Rhinolophus ferrumequinum: one gene and its partner. The protein of the gene in region 1 interacts with the protein of each later gene in a biochemical or structural test. Links are inferred from orthologs where the notes say so. Each region holds a gene or a part of one and is shown in the gene's direction. Other genes may lie near its edges.

Region 1 (7,072 bases):
TCCCTTGGACTGGCCAGCGCGGGCTCGCCCACCCTCCCAGAACCTGGGACCCTGTGGCAGGGCTCTATCCTTCTGCCTACCCAGAGGTGACACTACAGCAGTAAGACCTGCCATCTCATCCGGGGGGATGTTCTGTTTACAATGCCCCTTTGCCTCTGTGGCCCATTTTGCTTCTAGAAACAACCTTGTTGAGAGTGGAACATCTCATTTTAACCTCTGTTTTAAAGAGGAAGAAAGTGAGGCTCAGACAGAGAAAGAGTTTGCCTGGAAACACTCAGCTAGTGAGTGGCCAGTGCTTAACTTCCCACCCTGCACTCCTGGCCTCAGCCTCTTGTTCATGCTGGTCTCTGCATGAAGTGCCTTTTCTCGCCTTTCTGCCTGGCCAACTCCTATCCTCTTTAAGTTCCAGTTGTACTGCCACCTCTCTGGAAGGTTCTTGGACCTCACCCCAGGCAGATGGTTACTGCCCCTGGGCACCCACAGCACCTGACGGCAGCTCTCCCTGGACAATTGTGTTTTGTTTTCCTGTATTTATTTTCTGGATCTACCTGAGGTCAACACCGGCGTTAGCCTTAACACGGGCGCCTCCCAGTGTCTGGCTCCTGGCCTGGGGACAGAGCGCGGGAACAGTAGCTACGAGTGATGTCCAAAGGGGAGGCCAGCTGGCCAGCCTTGCAGGGAGGGCAATAATGAAATGGTTAGAAGTGTAGGCTTTGGAAGCAAACAGACTTTGATTTTGGTCTTAGCTCTCCCGCTTTCTAGCCATGTGGACTTGGGCAAGTCACTTTCTCTCTGAGCCTAGTTTCCTCATCTCTGAAATGGGATGACAATACCTCCCTTGGAGCTAAGAAACAGGGCCTGCCAGAATCCACATCAGCAAAGGTTGAAGGAAAGAACATCTTTGTGCAATAAATGCTCAATCTGTAGGAGGTACAATTCTCAGTGTCACTCCATGCCAGTCCTGACCTAGGGCCTGAGGCCAGCTCCCCATCAAGGATGTCTGGGAACTGTGGACCCCTCTTGCCCGGCCCAGAGGCATGCTGGGAGATACGTCTGGGGACATCTGTCTCACCAGAGTGGGCAGCACCTGATAGGCCCTGCAGATGCTGTCAGCTGGGGAAGAAGCTGTTGGTGTCCGTTAGGGCCAGGGATTGGCACGTGGGCTTGCACTGCAGCGAGTGGAAGGAGGCCCAGGGGGGCCCTCGGGACCCAGGATCAGGTCAGGGGGCGCTGGGCTTCTCTTGCAGCTGCCTTGTGGAAGGAAGTACATAAGAGGAAGTATCTTTAGGGAGGAATGGGGCAGGGACCAGGGGATGTGGTCTGGTGCCTGTCCTCCCCTCCTGCCACCCAGAGGCCCCCCCAGGCCCTGCACGTACCCTTCAGTGAAGGCAGTTCGGAGACTGTTTCCTTCCTGTACTCTGTTAGCCACAGAGTCTTCCTTTGATTCTCAGGGTCTCAAGGGTGAGGGGGACCCGGTGGCACAGGACCAGAGAGTTTTGGGGCTCCCAGGGCTGTCCCCATCTCCACACCCCTGCCTGAAGCAGCGGGGGTGCAATGAGAAGCCTCCGTCTAAGCAGGCATCTTTCACAAGCCTGGCAGACCAGCATCACACTGTTACTAGAGGCCCTGCGAGGCCTGGAAGGGGAAGTCCGTGTGTACGTGGGGGCGTGTGTTTCCACACAGGGGATGTCTGTGGAAATCGTTTCCGATCATCGGCTTGTGTGTATTTGTGTGCGTATCAGTTCCGGTGGGTGTACTGGTGTGAGTGACGCGGCGAGGCCACGTAGAAGGGGGCTGGGCCTGGTCAACCCCTGACCCAGGCTACCTGCTCCTCCACTGAGACCTCTGTAGGTCCTTGCTAGGGCTTTCTGCCCATCCCAGGGCGCTGGACTGGCAGGTTCTTCAGGGCAGGGCTGCTATGGTGGTGCCTGTTCTGTGGGCTGCCATTTTGGGTGGGCCCAGCCATGGGGAGGTCACTGCGGGGGGAAGGAGAGTCTGTGCTCTGGGCCGGGGCAGTCAGAGCCCATGGGCTTGCTGACTTCTGCCCTCATTCTCTTAAGGGGATGTTTGCAGCTGCTGGATGCCCACTATGTGAGCCCCTCATCACCTCGTGACTCTGTGTTCTAGTCTCCCCTTTCTCGGGATCAGAGGATACGAGGAGGGGTGTATCCCTGGCCCCACCCCCTGCAGTCATGGCCTTGGGGTCTACCGTGTCCCCTCCTCAGCAGGGAAGCCTGTCCCATCTTCTGTCCCTCCTCTCTGCAGAGGGGGAAGTGAGAAGGAGGGGGTCAGGGACCCTGCCTTCTGGGCCAGGAAGGCTGAAAAAGCAGAAGTGAGGGACTAACGGGGCCCTCTGGCCACTGGCTTGAGCCCCACCATGCAGAGCCCGGCAGATCTCCCCTGGGTGGGGAGAGATCCACTCCCCTGTCCCAGAAAGGTGAGCAGAGGGTTCCCTGCCTCCACTGGTGTCTGTCATCATGACTCTGGGCAAGGAATAGGTTTGGGGGTGACTCTTTCCCCTGGGGTTTCCGGGTGACTGGCTCTGTCTCCAGGGAGTATTCTCAGCCAGAGACAGACAGGTGGAGGCTCAGACCGCAGGGTTTGGGGACGGGGGTTGCTGTGTGGCCTTGGCCCACCGCAGCCCCTCTCTGAGCCAGGCTTTCTGCCTGTCCCCCCTGGGGTTACACTCAGGAGCCTGATTAGCGTGCAGCTTTTAGTGGCTGCAGCTTTTTGTGGCTGTTCAGGGTCCCCTGAGGATGTGTCTGTGTCTGTGAGGGTCGATATCTAGAATGAGAAGTCCCCGGACTGACCCTAGTACCGAGGGAGGGGGCGGGCTGGAAGGGCTGGACATGGCTCCGGCTGACTTACCTACCCACCCTTTCCTGGCACTTGAGGCCTCCCAATCGCAGGTCAAGCAATAGCCAGGGGAAGGACTTGGGTTCAAGCTGGCTCTGCCTCCAGTGCACTTTGAGCCTGGGTGAGTCACTGTGCTCTGGACCTCAATTTCCTGTTCCCGAAATGGGCACAACTGCTTTTGGGATATTTGGATGAGAGTCAGAGCCATCAGATTGCACTCAGATATCCCGCTTGGCCTACTTTCGTAGTCCAGGGCCCCCCTTCAGGACCTGGCATGGGAAGAACATTCCAAAGAAATGGAAGACCTCAGAGATGGGTCTGCCACAAATACTGGACTGTTCTCCCAAGTGCTGAGGGTTTGCAGGCGACATCCCCTCACCTCTTTCCTCACCCCCAGGTAGACCAGCTCTGCCTTTGAGTTCGGGGTCCGACTTTTTGGGTGTCCAGGTGTCTTTCCTGCCTATGTGTCTGTCTGCTTGGGCCTCACTGACTGGCAGTCTCTGTTTGCTGCCCACCTGCCTCTGGCTTCTGTTGGGCTCCTGTGTCTGTCTGTACTTGATGAGTGCCTGTCTTCACCTGTTGGGTACATGTCACGTGTTAGGTGTCTGTTGGTTCGTGTCCCCTTATGTCTCTGCCTATTGAGTATGTGTCCCCATCTGTCTCCACCTGTTGGATGCAAGCCCCCATCTGCCTCTGCCTGTTGGGTCCCCATCTGTCTCTGACTGTCGGGTACATGTCCCCATCTGTCTTTGCCTGTTGGATATGTGTTCCCGTTTGCCTCAGCAGGTTGGGTATGAGTCTCTGTCCACCTCTGCCTGTCAGGTATGAGTCCCCTCCTGCCTCTGCTTGTGGGTACCTGTCCCCATCTGTCTCCGCCTGTTGGATATGTGTTCTTTCTACCTCTGCCTGTTGGGCATGTGTACACTCCTTCCTCTGCCTGTTGGATGCCCACCTTCATCTGTCTTTATCTGTTGGGAGCCGGTCTCTGCCTGTGGGGTGCCTATCTGCTCCTCAGCAGCTGGGTTGGTATGGGGCTTTCCCTTTGCAGGCCCACAGGGGATGCAGAGGGCAGCCTTCAGGCAATGGGGACAGGGGAAGAGAGAGGAAAGGAACGTGGTGAGGGTGTAGGCTTGGAGCGAGGAAACCACAGGCCCTGCGTGATTGGTGGCCCGGGCCCAGCCCCCGCCCTCACTCTGCACATCCGCCTCGGGCCGGCCACCTCCGAGGCAGCCCCGGACGCTGCCTGCTCCTGCCATGGTGCCTTGGCCCTGCCGGGCGGATGGAGCAGGATCCCAAGCCGCCCCGTCTGCGGCTCTGGGCCCTGCTCCCCTGGCTGCCCAGGAAGCAGCGGCCCAGGATCAGCCAGACTGCTCTGCCTGCCCCTGGCCCTGGCTCTGGCCCCAGGCGGGACTCGGTGAGTGTGCCCGGATGAGCTGGCCTGCCTGTGGCCCTTGGAGCAGGTGCCTGGGCAGCCAGTGTGGCCTCAGCTGTCTTTGGGCTCTCCTAGCCCAGGCCTGGCCCTGCTGGACGACTGGACCCTACCCAGACCTGCTCCCTGGGGGAGTGAGGAGGCACTCAGGGGTCCAGGGAGTGACACCGGTAGACCGGAGGGAGGGCAGAGGGCGAGGGGTCCTAGGACAACTGGGACCTGAAGAGCGGTTTTTAGTAGACTTGTATGAAGGAACTTTCAGAGGGTGGGGCATGGAGTCTGGCCTTAGCTCCTACCTGCCCCAGACTGGCACTTACTGGGTTGGGGGTAGTCTCAGGTGCCTCTTGGGTCCCTAAGCATCTCAGCTCTGTCCTTCTGGCCAAAAGGATCCCGTCATCCATCCTGTCCAGGAACAAAAACCCAGCTTTGCCTCCCCAGTGTGAGAATAAACCCTACTTCCTATTGTGGCAAAACCAAAACTTGACAGCAGGGGGAGGGGAGGACCTGGGGCTGGTCTGTGGGCCTCAGCCAGAGCCTGCAGTTGGCTCAGCTTGGCCAGCCTGGCCATGCCTGGGCATCCCTTTGGGTGTGACCAGGCCGGAGCATCAGGAACAATAGGAGCAGAGACACCTTAGTAGTTTGACCCCCTCTGGCCTGTGAGGCCCTTTGGTATTGATGAACCTGGAGGCTGGCCCTGTCGGGGCAGCTGTCTGGTTGGGCCTGCAGGGCCCCGTCTACTGAGATCTGGTGTGAGTGGACTTGGATGGGGGACATTCCCCATGCTGGCCTGGATGGGGCCCACGTGCCCACCTGCTGTGTTCCTCCATCAGGATGAGGGTGTCCTCAAGGAGATCTCCATCACGCACCATGTGAAGGCTGGCTCTGAGAAGGCTGACCCATCCCATTTCGAGCTGCTCAAGGTTCTGGGCCAGGGATCCTTTGGCAAAGTAAGTCCTGATCCCACAGTTGGGAGGGAAACAGTGGTCATACCAGAGGTGGGGTGAGAGTTCACTGTGGGGCTCAAAGTACCAGAGGGCAAGGGTTGATGGGGCTCAAGGCAGGACAGGAGGTCACCTTGGTACCCAGGGAGGGCAAAAGGTCAAGGTGGGACTCAGGGAAGTTGGAGGGCAGCTTGGGACCTGGAGGGTGGGAGCTGATGGGCTCAGTCCTCTCCGCAGCTTCTCCTCTGCTTTTCCCGTGCTGCCTTCTCAGGTCTTCCTGGTGCGGAAAGTTACCCGGCCCGACAGTGGGCACCTGTACGCCATGAAGGTACTAAAGAAGGCAACGCTGAAAGGTGAGTGGAGGACACCTCCTCAGGCAGAGCCCAGGGCAGCACAGGACCAAGTGAGATGGCCCAGCTGTCCAGGGCCTTAAGTCTGATGCAGGAGAGAGCTCAGTCTCCAGGAGTGCCTGGTCTGAAGGTGGAGACACTGGCCTGTTCTCAGCTGTCCCTTACTACCCACCACCCCTCCTTATGATGAAGACAGGGTCCAGTCAGAAGAAAAGATCTCCAGGGTTAACTGCACCCCGCGCCCACCCCCACCGCCAAGCCAAGTGCCAGTATGTAGTCTGGAAGGAGGTGGGAGCAGGGGTGCAGTATGTTTGTGTTGGAGGCCTTCAGACATCAGGTTTCAGGCTGGTTGGGCAGAGGCCCCTCTCAGCAGAGTTGCTTCACAATGTTACAAGAGTCTGAGGGAGACCTCAGAGTGGAGAAGGGTGTGAGCAAAGAGGCAGGGAGCCCAGGGAGGCGGTTGCGTGGGTAGGAGAGGTAGTCAAGGCGGGTCCATGGAGATGGATGGCAGAGAGGTTCGGAGGGAGCCCGAGTCCAGGCCTGGAATTCCAGGACTTCCAAAGGGCATGAGGGTGATTGGGAGTAGCCTTTGTGCTGGGCAGTGACTCTGAGCAGCCTGGGAACCAGACTGGCCACTGACCAGGCTGGGGTGAGGTGGGGAGAATTGGAAGTGTTGGCCTTGGGGACATTAGGAGTCATGTGGCCCATGAAGGGGCATCTGTGGGGTGATGTAGCTTTGGTGCCCCAATGCCAGCCTGGTAGGGGTAGGAGTCATTCCTCAGCAGGGACAGTGGGAGCCATGGGGAAAGAGAAAGATGAAAAGACTTGGTCCCTGCTTTGAAGGGCTCCCGTGGGGCTGGAGAGGCAAGGCAGACCTTGCAGGGTGTTGCAATTGGCGCTGCGACTGGGGAGCCCAGGGAAGGTGGGTGCAGCCTCCCAGTGGGGTCGGCTCACATAAGGAGTAACCATTTGAGCTGTGTCTTGAAGGATGAGTTGGGAGTTCTCCAGATTGAAGATGGTAGAGGAAGGGTACCCCAGGATGGAGGAATTGTTTCCCTTAGCAAAAGTGTAAGGGCAGTTTGAACATGTAAGGTTTAGTTGGGAAACAGTGACTAGAATAGTTAACTACAGTGTGGTCCCTGCCATGTCTGGTGAGGGAAACAGAAACGTTAAACTAGCATGTAAAAGGTGCTCCGAAGGGGAAAGCACAGCCCTGTAAGAAAGAGCATCCTGACTCAGCATGGCAGGTTAAGGAAGACTTCCTGGAGGAGGTGAGGCCTAAACTGAGTCAAAGAAGAACCTGCTGATATCAAATTGCCTGAGGACTTTTATTCTCTAAAAACATGTGTGTGTGTGGTGGGGTGGGGGGTGCCTACTCAGACCCATGAATCTGAATTTGAGACCCAGGGAATCTGCCTTTCTAACTAGCTCTCCAAGTGACTGTTCTCACCAGCCCCCAGACTGGAATTGGAGAGTTTTATGGCAGATGGAGAAAA
Region 2 (7,016 bases), on another chromosome or scaffold:
GGTGGGCTCCGCCCCCTGCAACTAAGATTGAACAAGGCACCTTGAGCTGAGCTGCCGCTGAGCTCCCGGATGGCTCAGTTGGTTGGAGTGCGTCCTCTCAACCACAAGGTTGCCGGTTCAACGCCCGCAAGGGATGGCGGGCTGCGCCCCCTGCAACTAGAAAACGGCAACTGGACCTGGAGCTGAGCTGCGCCCTCCACAACTAAGATTGAAAGGACAACAACTTGACTTGGAAAAACAGGCCTGGAAGTACACACTGTTCCCCCAATAAAGTCCTGTTCCCCTTCCCCAATAAAACCTTTAAAAAAACAAAACAAAAAAAGATTAATATATCACAGCCAGGTGGTGTTTATCCCAGAAATTCAAGACTGGTTAATTGAAAATCCACAGTATCAACAGACTAAAGAAGAAAAACCATGTGATCATCTCAATCAATCCAGAAAAAGAATTTGGAAAAATACAAACATCTAACAATAAAAAACAACCACCCACAATATGATAGAAGACCATCTATGAGAAAACTATGAATAATATAATATTTAATGGTGGAAAAACAAATGCTTTCCTCCTAAGATCGGAAACAAGACAGGGATGTTTGCTCTTACCTGTTCTATAAACATTACCCTGCAGGTTCTAGCTAGCACACTAAGACAAGAAAAAGAAATACATATGGGAAAGGAAGGAGTAAAATTGTCTTTATTCTCAGACATGATCATCTATATAAAAAGTCTGATGAAATCTACAAAATAAGTGGGTTTAGCAAAATTGCAGGATACAGGATCAACATACGAAAATAACCGTATTTCTGTCTTAGCAGTAAGCAATTAGAAATTGAAATTTTAAAAATACCCTTCAGCAATGAGTTGATATACTCTATACCTGACAACATAGATGAATCTGAGTAAAAGTCATACAAAAAAGAATACACAATCTATTATTTCATTTATATAAAATTCTAAAAAATGCAAACTATAGTAACAAGAAGCAGATCAGCTATCACCCAAGGACTACAACGGGGGGAGGGAATCCAGTGGGAGGAAAGAATTAGAACGGAGCAAAAGTAAGTTTTGAGGTAATAAATATATTCATTATCTTGATTGTGGTGATTGTTTCATGTGTGTATAAGGTCAAAATTTATCAAGTTGTATATTTTAAGTATGTGTAATTTATTGTATGTCAATTTTCTTATTTTAAAGGACATTTTTCACTTTTCTTTCAATTTTTAAAGCAGGCTTTGGGCAAGTTTTTTTTTGTCTGTTTTTTTGTTTTTAATCTTCCCTTTGGCATCTCACCTTTTTTGTATCTCACATTTGATCCTGGGAACTTTTACTTATTCAAGGGGGAAAAAAATAACACACACATCCAACTTCCCAAAATATTAGCCTTCAATCTAAAACTGGTTTTCTTTCACACATTTTCCTTTACAATTTATCTTGGCACCTTCCCTGTTATTCAGTTTGTCTCAGCTACAGGGGTGTTGATGGGAGAAAGTTGGTTTCTAGGGTAACCAAAGACAGGAAGGTATCAGCTTGGGAGGCTGGAGTGCATACCTGGGAGGTGATGGAGATGAAGCAAACCACCCCTCAGTGGGAGTGAAGGTGAGAAGCCCCTCTTCCACTAAATGCCTTGAGATCCTCAAGAGTGATGAGGGGGCAAATTTCTGGGGGTGATATTTCCAGGGATACTGAGAAAGAAGACGAAGAACCGAGAGCACTAGGTAAGACTTGCAGGTCACTGCAAGGTGGGAGAAAGAACTCTCTGGAGGGCTGAGGAGTAAACCACCGACTTCTACTTCCAGCCCCACCCTCCCGTTTCTCCTCAGTAAGCCCTGCCTGTCTGCTATCTTCCCCCTAATGCTTGGCATAGGGCCTGTAACACAGACGCAGTACGGTTGACAGTTAAGTAGACTCTGGACCCAGACTGCGTGGGTTCCCAGCTCTGTGACCCTAAGCAACTTATTTTACCTCTCTGGGCCTGTTTCCCATCTGAAAATGGGGATGATGATTACTTACTCAAAAGGTTGTGGAGACGATCTAAGTCAATACTTGCATTTTGTTTACTATTAGTTTGGTGCAAAAGTAATTGCAGTTTAAAAGGTTAAAAATAATTGCAAACACCGCAATTACTTTTGCACCAATCTAATAGTTGAACTTCAATTAAAAGCCTTAACACGGTGATGAATGGGATTGGAAAGTACCATAATTTAATAAATGCAATCAAGGACACACTTCTTCCTTTAGATCTACCTCTGACAAGTATCTTTTCGTTATGACAGCCATTAACTTCCACTAAACAGTATGATTTTTCACACGTACTTCATCTTTCTTTCCATCTTTTAATATTTCTACTCTTGGGCATGTTTTATAAGGTATGTAATAAAATACATGTAAATAACTGTTTAAAAAAACATTACATAGGTTAAGAAAGCATGACAAAAAAGGCGACTAGTAGTGGGCCTATGGCCACAGGAAGTGTCACATTTGGGAGCACGATTGTGCAGGTGGTATGGGAAGGGAATTAACAAGGTCGGGGGCAGTTGGGACTTCCTGTGTCTTTGGGAGTCCCGGCCACGGTGCGGTGGAGATGCAAGGAAGGCAGCGGGGCTTTCTTCTCAGGGCTAACCAGCACCTGGGATAGTTTAGGGGACGTTCCTGATCATTCTAAGTCCCGTCCGCCCCCACCCCCGCCCCGCCCCACGTGATGCTCCTTAGTCCCCTTGCCTCCTGCTGTCTGCAAACCCACTTCCAACACTGCAGGGGCCACTCGGCTCCCTCCTGCTGGCGTGTGCGTGTGGGTAAATACACACGATCTCACACTTCACCCATCCAAGGACAACAAGGTGGTGTGGACCGAGGACCGGCAGCCGCGCCACTGCCCGCAGGGCATTTTCCAGAAGCACCTCCCAGTCCTAGCGGCAGTTTCCTTTCTATATTATTTTTAACCAGAACGCTGGGGACCTTCTGACTAATGTCATGTTACTTGGAAAGATTTGGACACCGCGAGCCTACGAGAGGGGGTTATGAAAGCAGAACTGTCCTTGAAAGGCCTTTGCCATGGAGTCCCAACACTCACAGCCCGGGGGTTAAGATGCCGGAACCAACAGCGACGGGTGTCTCCGCGGTGTCGGTGGGTTAGAACTGGGGGGCCCAGAGATGGGGGGCGGGCGGTCAACAGGGTTCCTGACACCCGGGAAGGAGGCCGCGACAGATTTCTGAAAAATCGATGAGCAAAGAGGTGGAGGCAGCGTGAGCAGCGGCGTGGGTCGGCGCGGTGGCGCTGGTGCACGCACGGGGGACACCTGGCCCCGGGGGAGGGGGTGGCACCCGTCCGGTGGGGGGTGCACACAGGTCAGGTCTCGAGCGAGCGCAGGGCGGTTAAAGGGGAACAGCGGGCGGGGGCGGGGGCGGGGCCGGCGGGCCGCGCCGGGAAAAGCCGTGGATCCCGCTCAGCACCGGGCCGGCTAGGCCGCGCCGACGCGGGGTTGCGAGGCCGGGAGGGCGGTCCGCCCGCCGCCGGCCTGAGGGAGACGCCGCCCGCCGCTCCGTCCCCGCGGCCTGAGGAGAGGCCGCCCCGCCGCCCGGCCTGAGGGAAGGGCCGCCCCGCCGCTCCGTCCCCGCGGCCTGAGGGAGAAGCCGTCCCCACCGCCCGGCCGCCCCGCCTGAGAGAAAGGCCGTCCCCGCCGCCCCGTCGTCCCCGCCGCTGCGGCGCGAGGAGGAGGAGCCTGCGGCCCCGCCCCCGCGAGCGAGGGACGGAGACGGCTCGCGGGACGGCGGAGGGCGCGGAGGGGCGGCCGGCCGGGCCTGCGCCCGAGCGAGCGGCGAGCGAGGGGTGAGGGGCCCGGAAGGAGCCGCACGCCCGCCTTCCCGGCCTGCGCCCGAGCCCGGAGCCCCGCGGCCGCCCAGGCCGGAGCGCGGCGGTCGCGCCGAGGCGAGCGGGGCTGGAGCCGAGGTCGGCGGCGCCCCGCGCGGGTAGGCAGGGCGGACTGCGGCGGGGAGCCCGGCGGTCGGACTTGCCCGGAGGCGGGTGTGGAGGAGAATCCCAGCCGAACCGAACCCGCAGGACTCAGCCGGCTTGTGGATAAGGAGCGGCCGCCAGGCCGGGCGACCGGGCGACGGTGCGGCACGCGAGCCGGGAACCCGTTTCATGGGGGCGGAGGCGAGGCCGGCCCCGGAGCCTGGATGAGGACGAGCGGAGCAGAACCCACTCAGGAAACGGCCTCCCGAAGCAGGCCGAACCCGGGCTGGGCCTGAGCCCCGGGCGGGAAGGCGCAGAAACCGGCGCGCTTCCAGGAAAGGGAAGGGGACGAGGTTTCCAGAGGGTCTCTGCTTTGTGGTGATTGCTACCATTTTAAAGGTAGAAAGCTTTCATTTCAGGTGTTCTCTGATTTTTTTTTTGATTTTTTTTTTTTTTGGGTGCGATCGGCTCATTTCAGAATCTCAAAACCTTTCATGTAAAAGCTTTTTTGTTTTTTAAAGGAAATTCATAATTTTGGTTCCCAGGGTCGCACTGGACTTGGAAGGAATGCTGTTGTGTACATACTATTGTATGGTTTAATTTATTTTTTTTTACCGTGCAAATCAGCTGGAAGATTTTTTTTTTCAGGTGCCAATTCGGATTTATTCATCCTTTTTTTGTTGTTGTTCCCTCATATATATCTGTTGTCGTTTTAAGCATTGGAGACCAGAGAATTTCCCCCTTTGGAGCTTAAGGCTCTCTTGCCAACAGAAGGACAGCTGGGAAAACTGGATTAAAAGGATGGTTTTTATCTGTATTTTGCAGTAAGACTGATATTTTGAAGGCATATTCTTTCTGTGATTCATTTTTTTCAGCCCATAGCGCTAACCTTGAAGAGATTTGTGGTTGGGTTTTGGTTTCTAAGGTCATCGTTTTTCCTCTTTTTCTTTCGTTTTTCTTTTTCTTTTTAAGAGGGGGGAGGGGAAAGGGGGTCTAAGAAAGGAGACCATGTTAACTGGTAGAAGTAGAATGGAGCTTCAGTTACCAGGATCCTGAGAGCTGGAGGACAGAGGATTCAGTCTTCGAGTTGGGAAGCCCTCCTCTCACCTTTCTTAAAAATTGCGAGGATTCAATCCTGATCAAGACGTCAAAACTACAGGACTCTGGAACCGTGGAGACACCGAGAAACCATGAGTGTAAGGTTACCGCAGAGTATAGACAGGTAGGTTTGCTAATAATGGGTTTTTCAATACTTACTTAAGGACGCACTGGGAGGGAGAGTGTTTGTTGCATTTTGATCAAAGGTTGCAAAAGGAGGGTCTGGGTGGGCAGTGGGAGTTGGGGAGGTAGGAGCAGGCACTGGTCTGCGGGGACTGTCCGGCATGTGTGTTTATCTTCCCTGTGTGTGTCCATGTTCAAAACGTCTTCTGAGTCAGTGGTTTTTTTCTTCAATTGAAGCAATAGACAGTGAAGCGAGGAGGGGGGAAGTGCCTGCAGCCGGCTTTGACTTTTGCCAGGCTGGAGGCTAAATTTGAGTCCCTAACTTGCCAGCCTAGCGGGTGGGAGGTGGGCACAAGTCTGAGTCTGCAAGGGTGGGTTGGGATTGGCTGTAGGTGTTGGAGCTGCTGGGGGAAGGGCCCTGGCAGGGGCGTGGGCCTCCACCGGGCTGGTTGTTGTGGAATGGTGGGGTTTGGTGGTGGAGTGGATCCAGTGTCTGAAATGAGGACGATGGTCGTGGCCTGAATGATGGCACAGAAACACCCTTTGCACCCCTACAGGGCTGGATTTTTACCGGTGGCTAATAATAGCCCCAAAATGCACAGGTCACTTTAGAATTGTTTCCTCTCCAAGGTTAAATTTTAACTTGAGACCTGCCAACCGGCTAATGCTGTAGGTTTAATCTTCCAAGGCGTTTCTAATAAGCTTGACTCTGCAAAATGGACTTTCCCTCTGCCTTGAGCCGGAAGGAGTTGTTTGGGGCTCTTCGGCCTGATGGGCAGATGCACTGGCCCTTAGAGCCCCCCACCCCCCCAGAGTCTCTCCAGCCTTGTCACTGGTAACACAATGGTTCACAGCTTTGGTAAGGTATCTGCTTTTCCCTCCCTCCCCTCCTTGTCCGCCCACTTTCTCCGTAAGAATCGGGAGGGGGTCATTGGTGGGTACTGCACGCACATTCTGACTGGACAGGACTGAACAAGCAAATGAAAGGACTGGACCTGGAAATATAGTATTGGCGAGATAAGAAAGACTGTTTGCAAAGAAATAGTTGCTTTCTTTGTGTCCACCTAACCTTTGCTAATCCATGCTAAGAATAATTTCTTTTTGGCTCTGGAATGTGGCCTAAGGTGCATATAATTTCTCTCTCCCAAACAGTGACCTCTGTATGGCCTCCGAGCCCTACTTAGATGGGTCCAGCAGTCCCCACACAGGAACCTGACTTAGCAGTGGAGAGGGGAAGGCAAACAGCCACAGAGAACAGAAAGTGCGCGTGGCTGGTTCAAACCTCCATCCTTCCACTTCTTGTTGGCTTCTCTGTAGTTGGACTCTTGTAAAGGGAGAGCTGAGGCATGGCACGGCCCGGGCTGAAGACGGCTACATGGCTGCCCTCCCTGTCTTCCTCTTGGAGTTGGGGAATTAGTGCACTTGCCTTTTGGAGATTTGGATGGTGGACTATTTCTCTGAATTCAGGGATGTGAGAAGATAGAAACCTGGGTGTTTGGGGGTGCAAACGGGGCAGTGAGGGTTCCTTCGCTGATGGGACATGTTCCTCTGGGAGTTTGGATAGCCCCACTGTTCTCAGGATTTGTATAGCATGGTACGTTTCTCTAAGTGCTTTCATAGGAACATATCACATTCGAGCCTCGCAGTATTTCCATGAGGCAGACAAAGCAGAGGCTATTCTTCCCATTTTACAGAACGGGTATTGAGGCTCAGAGAGGACACCTGGCTTGTCTGGTGTCAGACTTGCAGGTCTTCTGAATCTGAACCCGTGGCGCTTTGTGGCCCACCTGTCTAAACAGGTGTGTATGCTGGTCCCGTGGCGGGTGGAGGCACTGCTCCAT

Evidence for each region.
Region 2: the proteins of RPS6KA1 (region 1) and ARHGEF11 interact in a test that uses a peptide from one of them, tested with the Homo sapiens proteins (2 studies listed by BioGRID and IntAct). The link is inferred for Rhinolophus ferrumequinum from reciprocal best matches to the Homo sapiens genes RPS6KA1 and ARHGEF11.

What each region holds. Positions count from the first base shown.
Region 1 is NC_046292.1:18,178,772-18,185,843, forward strand, and holds the start of RPS6KA1 (ribosomal protein S6 kinase alpha-1), read left to right. Parts: upstream 1-4,068; 5' UTR 4,069-4,135; coding exon 4,136-4,270; intron 4,271-5,115; coding exon 5,116-5,232; intron 5,233-5,497; coding exon 5,498-5,579; intron 5,580-7,072. UniProt on the Homo sapiens protein: Serine/threonine-protein kinase that acts downstream of ERK (MAPK1/ERK2 and MAPK3/ERK1) signaling and mediates mitogenic and stress-induced activation of the transcription factors CREB1, ETV1/ER81 and NR4A1/NUR77, regulates translation through RPS6 and EIF4B phosphorylation, and mediates cellular proliferation, survival, and differentiation by modulating mTOR signaling and repressing pro-apoptotic function of BAD and DAPK1.
Region 2 is NC_046305.1:1,327,088-1,334,103, reverse strand, and holds the start of ARHGEF11 (rho guanine nucleotide exchange factor 11), read left to right. Parts: upstream 1-3,920; 5' UTR 3,921-5,144; coding exon 5,145-5,176; intron 5,177-7,016. UniProt on the Homo sapiens protein: May play a role in the regulation of RhoA GTPase by guanine nucleotide-binding alpha-12 (GNA12) and alpha-13 (GNA13). Acts as guanine nucleotide exchange factor (GEF) for RhoA GTPase and may act as GTPase-activating protein (GAP) for GNA12 and GNA13.